Linked DNA regions of Arabidopsis thaliana. The protein of the gene in region 2 interacts with the protein of the main gene of each other region in a biochemical or structural test. Each region holds a gene or a part of one and is shown on either strand. Other genes may lie near its edges.

What was found.
Region 1: the proteins of CPSF100 (region 2) and nPAP form a complex in vitro, tested with the Arabidopsis thaliana proteins (one study listed by BioGRID).

Annotation. Positions count from the first base shown.
Region 1 is NC_003075.7:15,847,945-15,851,700, forward strand, and holds the start of nPAP (nuclear poly(a) polymerase), read left to right. Parts: upstream 1-1,827; 5' UTR 1,828-2,189; coding exon 2,190-2,324; intron 2,325-2,421; coding exon 2,422-2,499; intron 2,500-2,825; coding exon 2,826-2,933; intron 2,934-3,105; coding exon 3,106-3,168; intron 3,169-3,236; coding exon 3,237-3,398; intron 3,399-3,734; coding exon 3,735-3,756. Other genes in the region: PFK6 (phosphofructokinase 6), read right to left, coding at 257-361. UniProt on the Arabidopsis thaliana protein: Essential protein. Polymerase that creates the 3'-poly(A) tail of mRNA's. Also required for the endoribonucleolytic cleavage reaction at some polyadenylation sites.
Region 2 is NC_003076.8:8,050,433-8,054,188, forward strand, and holds the start of CPSF100 (cleavage and polyadenylation specificity factor 100), read left to right. Parts: upstream 1-2,006; 5' UTR 2,007-2,117; coding exon 2,118-2,266; intron 2,267-2,344; coding exon 2,345-2,513; intron 2,514-2,591; coding exon 2,592-2,688; intron 2,689-2,890; coding exon 2,891-3,017; intron 3,018-3,118; coding exon 3,119-3,237; intron 3,238-3,340; coding exon 3,341-3,435; intron 3,436-3,518; coding exon 3,519-3,670; intron 3,671-3,755; coding exon 3,756-3,756. UniProt on the Arabidopsis thaliana protein: CPSF plays a key role in pre-mRNA 3'-end formation, recognizing the AAUAAA signal sequence and interacting with poly(A)polymerase and other factors to bring about cleavage and poly(A) addition. Required for antisense-RNA-mediated gene silencing.

The DNA.
Region 1 (3,756 bases), on a different chromosome or scaffold from region 2:
CACTAATACGAATATAAATATTTATGTAATTCTCTCCCTGATAGAGACCAGGATCTCATCAACAGTCCGAATCAACATATAGGCTAAAAATAGGCGAAACCAATTATACAAACACAACTTTTGCATTTGCTATACACGAACCACCAAATCGGCAACAATATCAAATTCGTAAATCGTATAACCACCGATCCATGAAAATGTCGATTTCAAAGAATAATCGATGGAATCGTATAGAGATAGAGAGAGGAAGTAGTACGGGGAGATCGAGAATGTAATCGCTCAAATGAGGAACATCTTCGAGTACATAACCAGCAGGTCCTTCCACCAACTTAATCTGCTCGTCCACGCCATTAGAAGCCATCGAAGAAAACCTTATTCTTCTGAGTGTTTTTCTCTCCGGTGACGTAAAGCGACTGTGAATTTGAAGCGTATGTATGTATGTGAGTTTTAATTCTCAGAGCTCAGAGTGGTATAGAAGTAAGGAACGAGAAAGCGACGTCGTTTTGGCTCACCGTTACTTTATGATATACGGACATTACCGAAATACCAGCGTAAACGGCGGCTGGTTTTTCCTTTTGTCAATTTCCGGTTTTCAGATAATTGATTCGTGGATAAATGCAGAAGTATGGATAAAATCTCATTAATTATCTTTATTATACCTTTAAAGAAAATGACAAAAATTAAACGATAAGAATATCTTAATATTTACGAAATATATTCTTAGTAATTTCTCTATTTGGTGTCAAAAATATATAGGCAATTTTTCTATTCTTTAATTTCTTAAGATTTTTTTTTTTTAAAATCATTTTTTCTTAGTATATGGTATTGTTCATGACAAAGAGAGAAATATCATATCCTGTTGAGAAATAGCATTTATAAAAACTGATTTGTTTTGTAAAAATAATAATGTCAAGCTAATGTATAGATCGAATAGTTATTTTAGCTTAAAAATCAAATTTCTGAGAGGAGAAAATTTATCTTACAAATCTTTATAACGCTTAAGTATAAAAAAAAGATCTTAATACACAATTGTCCGAAAAAATCATTTTTAAACTATCAAATTATCGGTTTAAACTTTTTATTTGATTAACAAATCAATCTAAACTTTACAAATCTTCATGAATCAATTTAGGATTTAAATATCAAACAAGTGGATTCTAAAATAATAAAGTTTCCTCTCCAATTAGGAGTATAATGAATTACATATTTGGAAAGAAAAGATTCGAGTATTAATAAATTTTAGATGAATTTGATAAGTTTTAGACAGTTAGGAAAGTTGTTACTATTTGTTATTAAAAATATTTGCAATCTCCCTCACTAAAAAAAAATAATATTTGCAATCTCACAAAACCATGAGAATTGGGTCTTTGTAATTTTTAATCAAGGAAATCCATTATTACATCACTAATTGAAATTCATGTTTGTATATACAGCCTAAACTTTTGTATATACAGCCTAAACTTTTGTATCTTTTATTTAAAAACACTTTAATATGTTAAAATCCAATATAGTATCAAAATTATATCAAAATCTAATAAACAACACACCAGTTTTCAACTTTATCAATTAAAATTAACAGATGGTGATTTTAAATCAGTTGGTTTCCATCGACACATGATTTCTAGTTACCAATAATCCCACTAACCCCATTAAAATCTTTAAATTAAAAATCTGAACAAAATTATCTAATTTAGATTTGTTTTCAAAATGATTACAATGTTTTCTTGTTTTGAACGGAGACTTATCGGCTCCCTCCGTAAAATAATCATACACATTAATCCACTAATCAAAATTTAATTATAAAATCGAATCGCCGTGTACCTAATATCTTCCCCAACCTTTGCTCTCTCTCTCTCTCCATCTCCCTCATACCTCCTTCTTCTTCTTGATCCATCATCTCTCTCTCTTTCTCTCTTCTCTCTGTTCCTAGTCCATCGATTTAACCTCTTTCAGATTCTCCTTCTTCTTTGACTTTTTTTGACACCGTAGTCTCTTTCCCCTTCCATCGATTTAGGGTTTCCGATTTTCAAAATCTCCTTTTTATTTGTTTCCTCTCCTTGTGCAATTCCCGTCTCGAATCCATCTTGACCTGGGGGTCTGATCCGATCTCCCTCTAATCATATCGTGAAGCGAGATTATGTTTTTGTGCTGCGCTTCTGCTTTGATCGCTTAGGATTATCAATCGTGTTATGATGGTGGGTACTCAAAATTTAGGTGGTTCGTTGCCGCCGCTGAATTCTCCTAAAAGCTATGGAATTACGAAGCCGCTCTCTCTTGCTGGGCCTTCTTCGGCGGATATTAAGCGTAATGTGGAGCTGGAGAAGGTAAAGCTTTGTTTTTTTGTTTATACAAAAATTGTTCCACTGTTTAAAGGATTCGTTGATTTGGCTTATCTGATGTGTATTTTCTTATATGCTCAAGTACTTGGTTGATGAGGGACTCTACGAGAGCAAGGATGATACCATGCGGCGAGAGGAAGTTCTAGGACGCATCGATCAGGTGACTCAGCGTGTCTCGTTGATTGTTTGTTCTGTATATTTACAAGTGTTATCTTTTGATGGTTGTGCTAATTGGGTGTCTGAATCGACAAGAATAAAATTATTGTGTTTATAATGGTCTTTTAGGTTTCATTGTATTGGTTCTTACTCGTGTATGGTTGTTGATTTTGGGCTAAGCATAGATCATAGTTCAATATGAAATAGACTGGTCAGGCATATGTTCTTATGTCCATTGATTTACTTTGCTGTTTTTAAGTTTCTTCACATGCTGTTCATTGTGCTATTTGTCTGAAACTATCAATCTTATCTCCCACCTTTTTTTTTTAGATTGTAAAGCACTGGGTGAAACAGTTAACGCAGCAAAGAGGATATACTGATCAGATGGTGGAAGATGCAAATGCTGTCATTTTCACCTTTGGATCCTACCGACTTGGCGTAAGTGCTACTTGTTTACCGCTTCCTTGCTTTTATCTTGAAGCTAAAATGCGTATAATATGTTTTTTGCTATATGTTTGTGGATTACTCGAGAGATCGCTCTGTTTTTGTCTATGCAAATGCAATCTTAGTCTCTGAGGCTGAACCGACTTCAATTTTGTTCACTTTGCAGGTGCATGGTCCTGGGGCTGACATTGATACTTTGTGTGTTGGGCCATCTTATGTTAACCGGGAGGTGACTCTTGCTACCACTTATTGATGCAGAAGTTTGATTCTTTAGTTCTTAACACTTACTCTTTACAGGAGGATTTCTTCATCATCTTGCATGATATATTGGCTGAGATGGAAGAAGTGACTGAGCTCCATCCTGTTCCCGATGCCCATGTTCCGGTCATGAAATTTAAGTTTCAAGGAATACCGATTGATCTGCTCTATGCTAGCATATCACTTTTAGTTGTGCCACAGGTAATTTTCTGTGAATTTATTGTATCTTTCTTTGTTTTTGCTGAAGCTGTAGGGTCTGATAAATTTATATTAGCTTGTATATATTATGCTATATGTTGTGCTTGTTTGCATGTTGATGGAGACAGATAGTGTATTACTCATCCTCAATGGCTTATATAGTAAACAAATTTATTTTAGTAGTTTCTGGCTTGAGAGAGAGATCTGAAAAGTTTGCTGGCTATTTTGGTGCATCGGTTTTGATTTTTATATGAAAACTGAGCCCGTGAGCTGTCATGGTAGATTACAATCTCTTGCTGAATCAAATTTCTTGTTTTCATGGATTTGGTTTATCGACAGGATCTGGATATCTCCAGCTCTT
Region 2 (3,756 bases):
GTAAAGAGAGACATATCTGACCCAAAAAAATAATCTTTGATTTGTTATTGTTTACATTAATTTATTTATTAGAAATATAAAGTCCACATGATATTTTCTTCCTTAAGAACTTTAGCTTTAAAAATAGATGAAATTTTTCTGTTGAGCTAAAAGATTCATTTCCCTCTATACATTCAGATTTCTATTTTCGTTTAGTAAATATTTCCTTGTAATTCTACTGTGGTCCACCATTGTAAATTCATTGTTTATGTTTTTGTAAGAATTTTCAATCTGTAAATGTATTGAAATCCAATTTCTGTATTGGTATTAAAAACAAATTTCAGTGACAGCCACAGGCTCACAAAAACAGTTCTACACTACTACTTATCAGTTTCACACGAGAGCTAAGTTTAGTTATGTGCAGTAGACAGCATAGGGCGTAGATAAGGCCAAAAAACAAAAAACAAATGATTAAAAAAAAGTTTTTTTTTTTGCAAGAATAACCATATTTTGATACTTTCTTTTTATTTATTTATAAAAAATGTATTGTATTTTTAGATATTTTTCTAAGTATGGAGATGGGTCTTGATGGGTGGGTCACCAGCTGATGAATTAGAATCGAAAATCACATTCTTAGGTGTCTTTTGGTTTAGGTTCACCGAATCTTCTTAATCTATCTTTAAAGAACCAAAAAAAAACACACACAAACAATTGTCTTCAATCTCTCTGGTCATTTTTCTTATGAAAACAAGTATAATAATTACATTTATTTACACTCTTTAACTAATCAACCTATTATTACCTAACTACAACTTTCATATTCATATCAAGAAAGAAAGGTTTGATAGTTAGTTATGGTTGTTATCCTTAGCCATTATGATTTTGGTTTGGTCCTCACGGGTCCTCCTTCACCAAATGCATATGTTTTTTTTTTTTTTTTTTTTTTTTTTGTGTTGCCTTTGAAGTGAAGCTATCACAATTTTGAATCAAAATGTTGTTTGGCTTTCTAACGTGCATCAATAAAATCAGGAAGAACTTATCATTCGTCACAATCAACATACCAGCTACTTGTTTCTTATTGTCCATCATATTCCTAACAAATGATATATATAGTTCATCTCGAACTATTGAATTATTAAGTATTACGCAACACACCTATGTCAAATGATCTGAACTTCGATACTATATCAGAATTCAAATACGTTTAATTCAAAATTAACTGAAAGTGAATTCATTCATTAATATCTCTTATTTCATAGAAGAGATTTCCAACATTTTTTTACCATTGTAGTGATCTTTTAGTTGCAACATTTACTAATTAGTGATAAGAGAGCACACATGTGGGAGAATTAGGCACGTGTGAAGAGCTAAAGAGAAGCATGAGAAGAATAAAAGAGTATAAATAGGGATATTAGAGAGGAATTATAGAGATTATCCTGCGTGATCATTGATGTTGTGAGGAGAATTAGGGCTTGTGTGCTATGTTCTTGATGATAAGAGATGAGCATTGTAACTCCGATCTTATCAATATAGGGTTTTGATTCATTGTAATTGGGATTTACGGATAATAAATACAAAGGTTTATGCGTAAGTTCTTATCAACTTGTAATGGTCTTCTGGTTGCACCATATGCTCATAGATCTAGTGTATTTGGTACAACTGCTTAAAAGTTTTTGATTTACTCTAGTATATTTAACGGAGATTTGCCTATTTTTCCTTAAGGGTGTGTTTAATGTTTTCATGTTGAAACAATGAATGAAGTTTCATGTAATTTTAAATGAATGAGCAATCATAATGAAACCGATCTACTTTGAAGTTTGAACATACAATAGAATTGACTCATATGCTTATAATGGACTCACCATCTATGTTTCACTGCTACCACAACATTTTTTGGTAAAAGATTCACTAATCCCTCTTTGTGTTGGTTAAAAAATCAAGGTAAAGAGAGAAAAAATTTCAAAGATTATATGTACCAAATGAACAATTTGAAAAGAAAAGGGTTATTTTAGAAGTAAAAGGAAATATATGGACCGGGGAGGTTATTATTACAGAATTAAAAAACCCTCTTTCACGGTGGCTTCTTCTTCTTTAGTTCATCGGAGAAATTTTAGGGTTTATATCGGCGAACGGAAAAGATGGGTACTTCGGTGCAAGTGACTCCTCTCTGCGGAGTTTACAACGAGAATCCTCTCTCCTACTTAGTCTCCATTGATGGTTTCAACTTCCTCATCGACTGTGGTTGGAACGATCTCTTCGACACATCGCTCCTCGAACCTCTCTCCAGGTTTCTCTATCCTTATTATCTACATTTCCAGAATTCACCAATCTAATTTGTTTTGAATTCGATTCTTCTGGTTTACAGGGTTGCTTCTACTATAGATGCAGTTTTGCTTTCTCATCCAGATACACTTCACATTGGTGCTCTTCCTTATGCTATGAAGCAGCTTGGACTCTCCGCTCCTGTTTATGCTACTGAGCCTGTTCATAGATTAGGTCTCCTTACAATGTATGATCAGTTTTTGTCCAGGAAGGTGAGATTTTGTTAACTACTGGAGTGGTTATTTTTGCGCAATTGTCTGCATTGTAACACGATGATCTTACTGTTGCAGCAAGTATCCGACTTTGATCTGTTTACACTGGATGACATAGATTCTGCTTTCCAGAATGTGATCAGATTGACTTACTCTCAAAATTACCATCTTTCTGGTATGTGGTTTTAGTGATTTCTAGGCTCTATAGCAAACTAGAAACAATTGACACTTATCTCAAGCAAGTTTGATCTGCATTATCTATGATCTCATATCGGGAAGGAGTTCTTTGACACACATTGAGTATTTGGTTGTTGAAACCTAAGTTATGACTTCAAAGATTGTTAGGATGTCTCAAGGTTTTATCGTTGCCCTATCAGGAAAGGGAGAGGGTATTGTAATTGCTCCTCATGTTGCTGGACACATGCTGGGAGGTAGCATCTGGAGGATAACAAAGGATGGGGAGGATGTTATATATGCTGTTGACTACAATCATCGGAAAGAAAGGTACATATGTTCAGATTTTATCTTATTTGAAGTTCGAGTAATGTTCATAACAGTAAGTAAAGATGTGGACTCGTGATACTGAATTGTATATCTTAATTCAGGCATTTGAATGGAACTGTTTTACAGTCTTTTGTTCGGCCTGCTGTTCTGATAACCGATGCATATCATGCTCTTTATACCAATCAAACCGCAAGACAGCAAAGGGACAAAGAATTTCTAGGTTAGCTTGTAGCCCAATATGTGTTGTGTATCTTCTATAGTATTTAAAACAGCCCGCTTCTAACTGCCAGAAACATGTGTGCATGTCCCCATTTATCATTCAGATACCATTTCAAAACATCTTGAAGTTGGAGGAAATGTTCTATTGCCAGTAGACACTGCGGGTCGTGTCCTGGAACTTCTCTTGATACTTGAACAGGTAATAGAACCGCTTTGAATGTATCATGCTCTTAGTTAATGTTCAGCTGTTTTTTAAAGACTGGATATTGATCAAACCTGCAGCATTGGTCACAAAGAGGTTTCAGCTTTCCCATTTATTTTCTCACGTACGTGTCATCTAGCACAATTGACTATGTTAAGAGTTTCCTCGAGTGGATGAGTGACTCCATTTCAAAGTCCTTTGAGACTTCACGTGATAATGCCTTTCTATTGAGGTAGATTTTCTTATAAGAATGCCTTATTTGTGCCGTCGTTTGTTTAGAATACAGAAGACATCACATGAAATTTAAACACATGCAGG